Linked DNA regions of Neurospora crassa OR74A. The protein of the gene in region 1 purifies or fractionates together with the protein of each later gene. This does not show direct contact. Links are inferred from orthologs where the notes say so. Each region holds a gene or a part of one and is shown on either strand. Other genes may lie near its edges.

Evidence for each region. The genes of interacting proteins can lie anywhere in the genome.
Region 2: the proteins of tim50 (region 1) and tim44 purify together in Saccharomyces cerevisiae (affinity purification with western blotting; 3 studies listed by BioGRID, with this or other methods). This does not show direct contact. The link is inferred for Neurospora crassa OR74A from reciprocal best matches to the Saccharomyces cerevisiae genes TIM50 and TIM44.

The regions. Positions count from the first base shown.
Region 1 is NC_026501.1:8,625,410-8,630,661, forward strand, and holds tim50 (mitochondrial import inner membrane translocase subunit tim-50), read right to left. Parts: upstream 2,676-5,252; 5' UTR 2,405-2,675; coding exon 1,406-2,404; intron 1,342-1,405; coding exon 718-1,341; 3' UTR 218-717; downstream 1-217. Other genes in the region: NCU02942 (hypothetical protein), read left to right, coding at 4,485-5,252.
Region 2 is NC_026501.1:4,983,004-4,988,255, reverse strand, and holds tim44 (mitochondrial inner membrane translocase subunit TIM44), read left to right. Parts: upstream 1-1,926; 5' UTR 1,927-2,129; coding exon 2,130-3,034; intron 3,035-3,084; coding exon 3,085-3,760; 3' UTR 3,761-4,311; downstream 4,312-5,252. Other genes in the region: NCU03231 (mitochondrial chaperone BCS1), read right to left, coding at 1-213; NCU03230 (mitochondrial ribosomal protein subunit S18), read right to left, coding at 796-1,926. UniProt on the Saccharomyces cerevisiae protein: Essential component of the PAM complex, a complex required for the translocation of transit peptide-containing proteins from the inner membrane into the mitochondrial matrix in an ATP-dependent manner.

The DNA.
Region 1 (5,252 bases):
AGTATCGGCTATCCTACCCCTGATCGGGAATATGTCAAGGATGACAAGTCATAGTCCTCGCAACACTGGACGATGAGATGTCCAATGCAATAAGGTGTTGAGTTGTGCCAACCCAAGCTCAATACCAATGACTTTCTTTAATAAAGCACCGGGTTCGACTGGTGGGACTGTGCTCGCTGACAATGCGAGGACAGATATTTATCTCGCTTAACGCGAGGCGGCTTCGATAACGAGAGAAGGTGAATGAGCTAGTGGGTGTTCTTCGATTAGGATGTTCCCTCGACTTGCGGTCACACAGTAACGTGCTCCTGGCATCACGAATAAAATGCAGGGAGGCGAACAGACAAGACTTCTTGCTGAGAAGGGATGTTTGCCCGAAGTGATATGGAAAAGTGTTGGAATTGTCATAACTTTTTTTCGTTGAGAGACATTCTACAGCACCTCTAGAGCCACACCCTCAGACAGATTATGTAGATGTATGAAACCTTCTCTTTCCTAAGTGACCCACGCCTATTCCAATGCTCCGCATGTGAAGGAAGAATACCATGACCGGAGTAGAGAAGTCCGGTAAATCCCTTTAGTGACGCCAATCATAGACAGAGAATGGAAAATGGAAAAAAGAAATAGCACAAGACATGGTAAAAGTACAAGAAAATGGTCACAAGGTGTTGATACATATCGTCGCGGATGACTGAGGGGGCGGATTCGTTTGGTCGATTAGGCCTTCTTCTCTGACTCGCCGGACTGCTGCTCGCCGCTGGGAGCACCGCCGAACCAGCCAAAGACGGAACTCTGCATGTTCTTCATCATCTCTTTCTGGGCCTTCTCCTGGGCCTCCTGCTCCATCTTGAGCCACATCTCGCCGTTCTTCTTGATCTCCTCCTCCATGGCCAGGTAGTTGCGCATGCCGCGCTCACGGGCAATATCCTGGATCATCTTGCCCTTAGCAAAAGCCTCAGAAGGATCCTCCTCGCCCTCCATGGCCATGGGGTTCAGCTTGCTAGGCTTGATGCCGAAGCGGGCGCCAAGCGAGCCCAAGCCAGCCTTCTTGGCCTTGGCGGCAACGAGCTTGTTGTGCTCAGCGCGGGCAATGGCCTCTCTACGGGCAAACTCGGTGGGGATGTGCTGGCCCTCGAAGGACTTGAGGACCTTGCGAACATCGGGGAAGTTCATGGTGTGGATGAACTCGAGGAAGGGGACGAGGGACACGAGCTCGGTATCCTTGGGATCACCCTTCCACTTGGGGAGGACGATGGCGTTCTCGGGCTGGGCGCGCACGTGCTTGGGGTCGGTATCAATGATGATGACCTTGGACAAGTCTCTGTTGAGATAAGAAAGGTCCTGTGCGACAATGGTTGGTTAGCTACCGTGATGGTGCAATCTTGACAGCTCTAGGTGGTCCTACCTTGACGATCTCGCCATCCTTGTACTTGGTCGCCTCCCTAAAGAGGGGCCACATGATGAAGCGGTACGGGTCCATCTTGCGGACAATAGGCTCAGCGTTGGCAAAGGGAACGCTGGTGAAGAGAACAATCTCGTAGTACTGGCTGAGGTAGCGCAAGAAGTAGTCGACACCAGGACGCTTGGCGAGACGCCAGCCGTGGTCGCGCGTCCACTCGCTATGCACCAGCATATCTTCCAAACTGATACAGAGGGTGTACGGACGCTCGAATGACGGATCCGGGTCGGGTAGCAGCTTCTCGAAGGCAGGTTCCTGGTAGTAGCTGACGGTTCCAGTCATCCTGGCCTTGGCCCTCTTCCACCACAGGCCGAGACCCCAGCCATTTGGTATATCATGGTGCTTCTCAAGCTCCTCCTCATCCCATTCCCTTCCCAAGTAGATCGTTCCACCCACCAAGGCGAGACCAGCGGCAATGAAGGCCCAGTTGGCCATCTTTTGGCGGCGCTTCTCAGTAGAAGAAACGTAGGCAGAATCGGGGAGCTGGCCCTTCTTGCGGCCGCCACCACCGCTGCCTGACGTAGCGGCCTCAGGGCCCTCGGCGCCCTCAGCCTGTGTCTCTGCCTCCTCACCGGCGACCGGCTTCTTGCCGGCCTCCTTCTGGGCCATCTCATACTCTAGGGTGGTGGGAATACCACCTCTTAGATCGGGGAGCTTGGACAGGTCGATTTCGGGTTCGGGTTCGGATTCGGCTGGGGTTTGTTGTTGCTGCTGTTGCTGCTGCTTCTGCTCAGCTTTCTCGGATTCGGCGGGCTCGGGGGCCTTGGGAGTAGCCTTTTGTGCGGGAGTGCTCTCGGGCTTGGAGAACTTGGGAGGCTTGTTGTCCTTGGCCATGGAACGGGTCCAGACGGCGGGCAGGGTGCGCTGCGACAGGAGAGGCGACGCCGCGTGAGCTGCAACACGCGCGCCCGCGATGGAGCGCACGGCAGCTCTGGACAGCATCATGACTGATATTGGTTGGACACACAAAGGGCAGCAGCTGTTTGGAGCTGTGTGGTGTCGAGTGTCCCCTAGTGATGGAAACCGGAGGTGGATGGATGCCCGGGTGGTTGCAGGAGGGGGGGGGGGGGGAGCTGGTTGCTGCCTCTAGGTGGTGGAAACAAGTGACGATAACAGTAGGATAACGGAAATTCAGGGCGTCGTAGTCAGTTGCAGTCAGTCAGTATCCGCTGGGCCCGATAGCGATATGATATCCCAAAACCAAACTTTCCAATTCCACAAACTCAAGCTTCCCGCCCCGGCCGGCTGCTCGCCCAGAAAAAAACTTGAGTCCTGAACCTTCCGTCACAACGCTGCTAGTTGAACTTCAGCCTTGGCGCGCTTCTTTCGGTCCAATCAGACACGAAGGAGGGGTCTGTCGCTGGATCTTCCAAGGCCGCCGTGCACAGACCTTTGATGTTCTGAGAGTTCTTGTTCCCGGCCCCAATGGCCCCACATACGGAGTTAAGCGTCAAAGACAGTGGGGGACATGTCGTCATCTTTCAGCTTGTGGTTGTTGCATGGATGGATGACAATCACGTCTTTGATCTCCAATTCACCATCTCAACTCCAATATGGCTTAAAAGATAAAACTCTTGATCTCGTCTCCAGGAGACTATCTATTACGACAGGTGTCTGAGATCCTATGTCGGTTGGAAGATTCGGGCACGATTTGACAGGTGTCGTTTATTGGACTGCAGATACTGAAAACGTCAGACGACCGTGACACTATGTACTCTTCCACTGGCATTGCGCCTACAGACGGGATGCTTTTCGACGAGCAGATTACTGTTGCGTGGAAAGGAGCAAGTATAATTTGTAAATGAAGGGAGGTTGCGAACTAAACAAGTACCGGGCATTCAAAGGTATGACTGGCTCTTCGATAACTAAAGCTCTTCTGAGCCATTCAGATCACTTCGCTCTTCTCCTAACCACACAGTTGCTATCTAAACGACGGATGGAAAGCTTGGGTGACCTGACTGACGACTTGATCACCTCAAAAGTCCCCCAGGTGAACCATATGCTAAGTGGATGTTTTTTTCTGTTACAATCCAGTTCAGTAGTTGTACCTCTTGGTGATCCAGGCCATTTGTGTGATTTCCCTACTCTACCCCTAACCCTCTTGCTATCCGAGTACAGCTTATGTAATGCGTCGGTCAAAGCAAATCGTCTGCACACTCAGCGATACAGCGATGCCGTGTTTTGCTGTGATGGACATCCAATTGAACCATTCAACATCATCCACTCAGTTGCCTTCCCCTCACCTGCACTTCTCGGTAGGTAGGTGACCACTTCTTGCTCGTTTTGTTTCTGCATCGTTCTAGCAAGCCGAGACGGAACCGAATCGATACAATTGACGAATCTTCTTTTTAACACAACACTTGCCCTCTTCTGCTCCCAACCCATCTTCTCTCCTTCCCACTCCCGTCTTCTCTGTTTCTTCTGGAACATATCATCATTCATCCAACGCTCGAACGGCTGCGGTGATCCAAGCACAAACGCAAAGTCCACTCCTTCCCCGCCACCCGAACCGGCATTATCAATCATCCAAAAAAAAAGTCCAGTCCGCGCTCTACAACTCCCTGCCACTTACCATTCCAACTCCCAACTATCGCCGCCCACCATGGCTTTCGCGAATGCATTCTAGAGGGTGGTCCAGTCGTTGCGCATTCAGTACTCACGATGGGACCACCCTCTCAGAGTTCTGCGTACTCAACCACACACACAGCCTAGACATACTACTTATCATCGACGCATCGAGCTTAAAGCCAAGAGTCAGAAGAAACTGAACCATCTCAGAACCGATCTTTTATCCTTCCAGATTCCTACAACATCCACTTACATTCATCTCCCACCCTTCCCAAACCCTTGACATTCAACATTTGCCACTTCGCGTTCCGAAGGCACAGTGGCGCCAGTCAGCCCTACAGACTGCTTATTCGTGTTTTGCCAGGATCGCGATATCATAATCACCACTACTTCTACTTACCGTATCTCTCAACCTTCTCTTCGCTTGCCCTGTCGTTAGACGACGATCTACACCACAATGCCTCGCAAAGCCACCCAACAACTAGTGGGGCGTAGAATCACCACGAGGACGTCCCGTACCGTCGCGACCGTCGTGGACAATTCGCTTCATGCTCCCCCGACCCCGATCCCCTCTAATCTCAATACTCCGCTGAGTTCTGCCTATCCGTCGACTTATGCCTCCGAGGCTGAGGGGGACGTTGACGGAGAGGTTGAAGGGGGGGTTGACGGACAAGTCGATGAGGATGTTACCAAAGCCATGGGCGCATTAACCTTGGCTGGCTCTGTCGAAGCGACTGGTGAAGCTTCTGCCCCCCCAAAGCCTCTCTCCCGACTAGCCAGAAGGAAACAAAAGCCGTTTCCCTTCCTAGAGTTGCCGGCCGAACTACGAGTTAAGATCTACGAATACTTCTTCGACGACACCCACTACGTCCTCGACCTAGACCCGGACAATTACAGGCGCATTCACAAGAAGCTGGGCTTCTTGCGCACCTGTCGGACCATCAGCCTCGAGGCCGGCTACCTATTCTATAGCACACACACCTTCCGCATCTTCCCCACCCATCCGGGCAAACACTTCAAGACCAAGAAGCCTCTGCTTGCCCGCATGAGCGCCCGCCAGCGCTCCTGGATTACCAGTCTCGAGATGCGCCTCGGCCCCGGCTGGAACAAGCCACCGCGCGGCTGGGTTGTCAACCCAGCTCTGGGATTGCACGAGTGCACCAGCGTGCGCAAGCTGACCGTCTTTGTCGAGTGCGACCCCAGCGACGGCATTTTTAATGGCTTC
Region 2 (5,252 bases), about 3.6 Mb from region 1:
GTTATAGGAAGGATCACGCTTGCTGATCTCGACATTGACCAGCATCTGACGTTTCAGTAATCCGGCACCACGGATGGCAGCCCGGCGACCAAAGGCGGCGGCGGCGCCAAGGCCGGCGAGGCCCATGCCACCGGCGAAAACGGGATTGTTGAAGAGCACATCGAGGTTGAGAATTGATCCCGCTGTAAGCGGGGTTTGCGGATCGGTCGACATTGTGGTCGAAGTTCTCTATTCTACATGGCTTTGCGGAAGAGGTTGAAGGCCGAAAAGGGTCGGCAAGAATTGAGAGGGCTCCGGGTCGGATGAGGTCTGGGATAAGGTGGAATTCATCCGAATTTGGTTAATGTTCGACGTTTAGCTCCCGTCGCCGGGAGCCATGCCGACAATTGAAAATTTAAGTGGGTCCAACAGTACGGTTCTTGCCGGGCTGCCGGTACCTCTAGATTCCCAAGAGGGACGCTACAGTACAGTATCGGAACCAAGGTAATCCAACGATTCGGTGTTCCTCGCCGTGGTCTCCAATGCAATGGGACATCCGGAAGCTCATCCTTGGGCCATGTACAGCAACAAATACGCTCTCTGAGCCTCAAAGCACCCTTTTAAATGTCATAAGAAATGAAGAGAACAGAACCTGGAAGCGGATCGGCATGCGGTCCCCTTCCGGGTATCCTAACATGCAATTCAATGACAGATTCTTGTTTATACATGACATGTACACGACCGCCAGCCCATTGCTGCCAGCCAGGCTGTGACGGCTCCCCATCCAATTCTGTCCCCAAGACCAGCTGCACTCGCTTAACCCAAACGTCTGGGCTTCTTGCTCCTTGTACCACCGAACTTGAGGCGTGTGGCATCGCTGACACGTACGATGGAGCTGCGCAACATCCTTCCTTCGTTTCCAAGCAGAACCTTGATGACCGCCTCTCTGCCAGGGCCGAATCCTCGTAAGACCACCTCCATCTTCTTGATCTTATTGTGCAAGTTCATCTGATGCATCTTGTCTACCACGTAGGCGCCCAACTGATATGCCGAGTCGTAGTGTTTGCGGTTAGACTTCTTGAAGCCAAGGTTGCCGCACGAAAGGGATATGAGAGCGTCGCGGTTTGGCTTGGTGACGGTAATGTGAGTGTTGTGCTTGTGCGAGTAGATGTGGAAGTGGTATGGCTCGTCCTCGGTATCCCTCAATCCAATGTTGGTTGCAAGCTTGTCACCGGTCAAATCGGTGGGATCTGCGGCCATGCCGACAATGCCCCGAGTCAAAGACTCCATCAACTTGGCTGAGCTTTCGGAATCGGCGTCCCTCCTGGCGGCGGTCTGTGAGAACGCCCGCGTCCATACTGGCGTGGCGCTGGGGAAAACGGGCTTGTTGAAGGCCTGGAAGAGGTTCTGCGCCAGAAGGCGGCCGGTAGAGAAGCGGCTCATCTTTGCTGGCCAAATGCTCCTCGGAGCTGTCGCGACGGTGGGGTGGACGACAAAGGAAAAGTGACCTTGAATGAGCTGGTGGAAGAGCAGTTGCGCACACAATGCCGGAGTTGGGGGAAGCGAGTCGTACAGGTAGTGGAGAGACCGTGGCTCCGTGGTGCGCGGTGCGCGTGCGAATGCCGTGAGTGGGTGGCTCCCGTCCCGTTCGCCGACCGGAAGTTCAAAGGTCCTCGAAATTTTGAGTGGATGGCCGCGGGGCAGGCAACGCAAGCGGCACCGCTGCAGAATCAAGGGCGACCATGAAACCGGTCGGCGGTGGGGCAGGCACTTTTCTTGGCATTGGTAACAAGGGTGAGCCGACAGCGGGGGACTGAACGAAATGTTCTGGGGCAGTTTTGGAGCAGTTTTGCGGCCGAGCGGGGGCAAAGAAGCCAAAAGATTTCGGGGGACCCTCGGTGTCCAGCCGACCAATTCAGCGCGTATTGGATCGATTTGCCCGGCCATTGGCGTTGCAGCAGAATTTCCACCGATCCATTTTCCATTAGCTTGCGCGCAAATTCTAAGTTCTGTCCTCGGCCCTTGCAAGATTGCCCTCCGTCCGCCAACTTTACGCACTCCACTCCCGTGCTTCGACTTGTTGTCTGCATCAGCTTGAAGGCTCCGTCTCCCAGGTTTTTCCGCAGGACGGTCCAGCTGGGATAGCAAACATGAACGCATATAGGCATGTCCTAAGGACGTCGCCGGGGGCTCCGTTGAGAGCCACGGCCGTTCCTCATACCACCCATGTCAGGTCACCGGCGACCAGCCGGCTCTTGTCCAGCCGCGCTTCCCGTGTCAACACCACCGAAAGTCGCATCTCTCCCGCCACGCCCATCTCCGCGCAGGAGATTCCTCTACTAAGGTCGCCTTTTACCCCTAACGCGATACAAGCCCGCTCGTTCCACGCCTCGTTCCGCGCGCTGCAGCAACAGGAGCAGCCTAAGCAGCAAACGCCAGAGACCGAACCCAAGGCGCAAGAAGAGCCCACTGGAAAGAAAGAGTCCAAGTCTGAAGAAGCAAAGGAGGAGGGCGAGAAGTCAGAGGGTGAGCCCAAGAAGGAAAAGAAGGAGGATGCGCCGCCTCCACCTCCCCACGGTGACAAGACTCCCTGGCAGGTCTTCATGGAGACCATGCAGACCGAGTTCAAGCAGTCTCAGGAATGGAACGAGTCGACCAAGGCATTGGCCGCCTCCGCCAACCAGATCGCAGAGAGCGAGGCCATTCGCCGTGCACGACAGGCGTACGAAGCCACCTCTGGTACTGTTTCCTCTACGGCTGGCAAGGTTGTCAAGACCACCGCGACTGCCGTCGGCAAGGGTGCTCAGTGGACTTGGGAGACGCCAGTGATGAAGGGAGTGCGTAAGGGCGCCAACATCACCGGAGAGGTTCTGGACAAGGCAACGAAGCCTATCCGCGAGACTGAGGCTTACAAGAACGTGAAGGACGTCATCGATGACGGAAGCAGCTCCAGATATGGCGGCTGGGCTGAGAAGGAGGAACGTAGGAAACGCAGAGAGAAGTGGCTGAAGGAGTCAGCTGGCAAAGGCCCTCAGATCCTTGAGGAGGATCCCAAGTAAGAACAAGCCCTGCGGACATATCTGGTCGATTTGCTAACTGTTGCAGTGCCGGAACCAACGTCACTCTCCACAAAGATGCCGCTTGGAAGGAGGCATGGAGGGATTTCCGCGACTCCAACAAGTTCGTCCAGAATGTTTTCGGCTTGAAGACCGTCTACGAGGAGTCGGAAAACCCCCTCATCTCCACTGCTAGGAGTATCACCGACAAGATTGGCAGTTTCTTCGCCGAAAACGAGACCGCTCAGGTCATCAAGAAGCTTCGCGAATTGGACCCCGGCTTCAACATGGAGAATTTCCTTATGGAGTTGCGCGAGTACATCCTTCCTGAAGTCCTCGAGGCGTACGTCAAGGGTGATGTTGAAACACTGAAGCTCTGGCTCTCGGAGGCCCAGTACTCCGTCTATGAGGCTTTGACCAAGCAGTATCTCCAGGCTGGTCTCAAGTCCGACGGACGCATTCTCGACATCCGTGGTGTTGATGTTCTCAAGGCGCGGATGCTTGAGCCTGGCGACATTCCTGTTTTCGTCATCACTTGCAGGACTCAAGAAGTTCACGTTTACAAGAACGCCAAGACTGGAAAGTTGGCGGCCGGTATGGAGGACAAGGTTCAGCTTGTGACCTACGCCATTGGCATTACTCGTATTCCTGAGGATGTCAACAACCCCGAGACCAGGGGTTGGAGATTGATCGAGATGCAGAAGAGCGGGCGTGATTACATCTAAGCCCGCATTTTTTCCAACGAGCGTGTCTTTTAAGGTGAAGGAGCACGCTTTTGCCACATCACCACTCGGCGTCGAGCGCTTGTTTATGTTCACTACACTATTATCGGTTGCGGCAACCAAGAATAAATGTATCATACCAAAACTGGGATCTGGTCGCATGGGGGCCATTGGGAGTTTCGGAATCTTCGTCGCACATGTATAGAAAGGCAGGCTACGGAGCGGGCGCCTTGAGCATTTCCAGCATAAACACACCACTCTGAATAAGGGCATACGGATCAAAGATTGGTGCCATGACGAAATGGTCACACTGTACAATATAATAGCGGGACTGAGGGCAGTCACAAAAGAGCTGTGGAGCGAAACAGATATAGGCGTTTTGAAGCGATACCCGCTTTTGTACAGAACAATGACATTGGTTCTTTGGATAGGACGTTGGTATCGATCCTCTGCCTGTGCTTGAATCATCTCCCCCCTCCCGAGCCTCCTCCGTTGGTCTGTTTTAAGCTGATTAACCGCCTCCAATGGCCTATAGTGCTTGAAACGAATTTCATTAGGCAATCATACACCAAGGTACCGTGCGAATGTAGAACATAACTGAGACTTGGTGTCGTTAATTCTCTCGATTCACCCGATCTCACATGTGATAAGCCCCAGTACATTGATCGAGACAGTCAAGTGACCGGATCTCAGCAAGACAAAAACACGCGCACGCCGAAAGAAAATTCTCCAAACAAAAATTCAAAAATCAAGGCATCTGGTACAATGTTGATGCAACAAAAACCAAATAGCTTTCTGAGACTCAAAAAGTCAAAAGAATTGGATGCACCGCGGATCGAACGCGGGACCGTCTGTAGAGCAAGATAGAAATTTCAATGCAAAACAGAAATCATACCACTAGACCATGCACCCATGGTTATTAGGCTGTAACCCACTGATACCCTATATTGTATGAGCACAATTCTATCCTCAAGCGGCACCATATGCTTGCCATTTGCGCCTCATAAACCAGCGCTTTTCTCGGCAGCATTCAACATCAACTGTCTACCTACACACAATTCTTGAGGTGGTCTGCGTCGCGTCTGTCCCACCCGACTCGCATACCTATGCTACACAGCTCAGGTACGGGGCCGAAGGGCGCGGCAGGTATTGTCTCTGGTCTCGCGATGCTTGACGATGATCTCTCCTGGGACCGGAACCCGTGGGCTTGCAATTAGAAGCCCATCATTGCCGGTCATTCATGTACGCCGCCTCCCTCCTATGAACGTTGTGTTGCCACACAATGCCCATACCCATTCCCATCTGGCACGAGTGTCGTTCCAAGCTGGGAGTAGGGCAACGCCATTATGCGCTTCGTCACTACTATTTACGGGGTCTGACGAATCGTTGATCTCGAGCGGTCTGGACTGATTGATGGCTTATATGAAGCATTCAAGAAAGCCGTTTCAGTCGCAGGCCATGCAAATAAGAACACCGGTGATAGTGCCTAGATGAA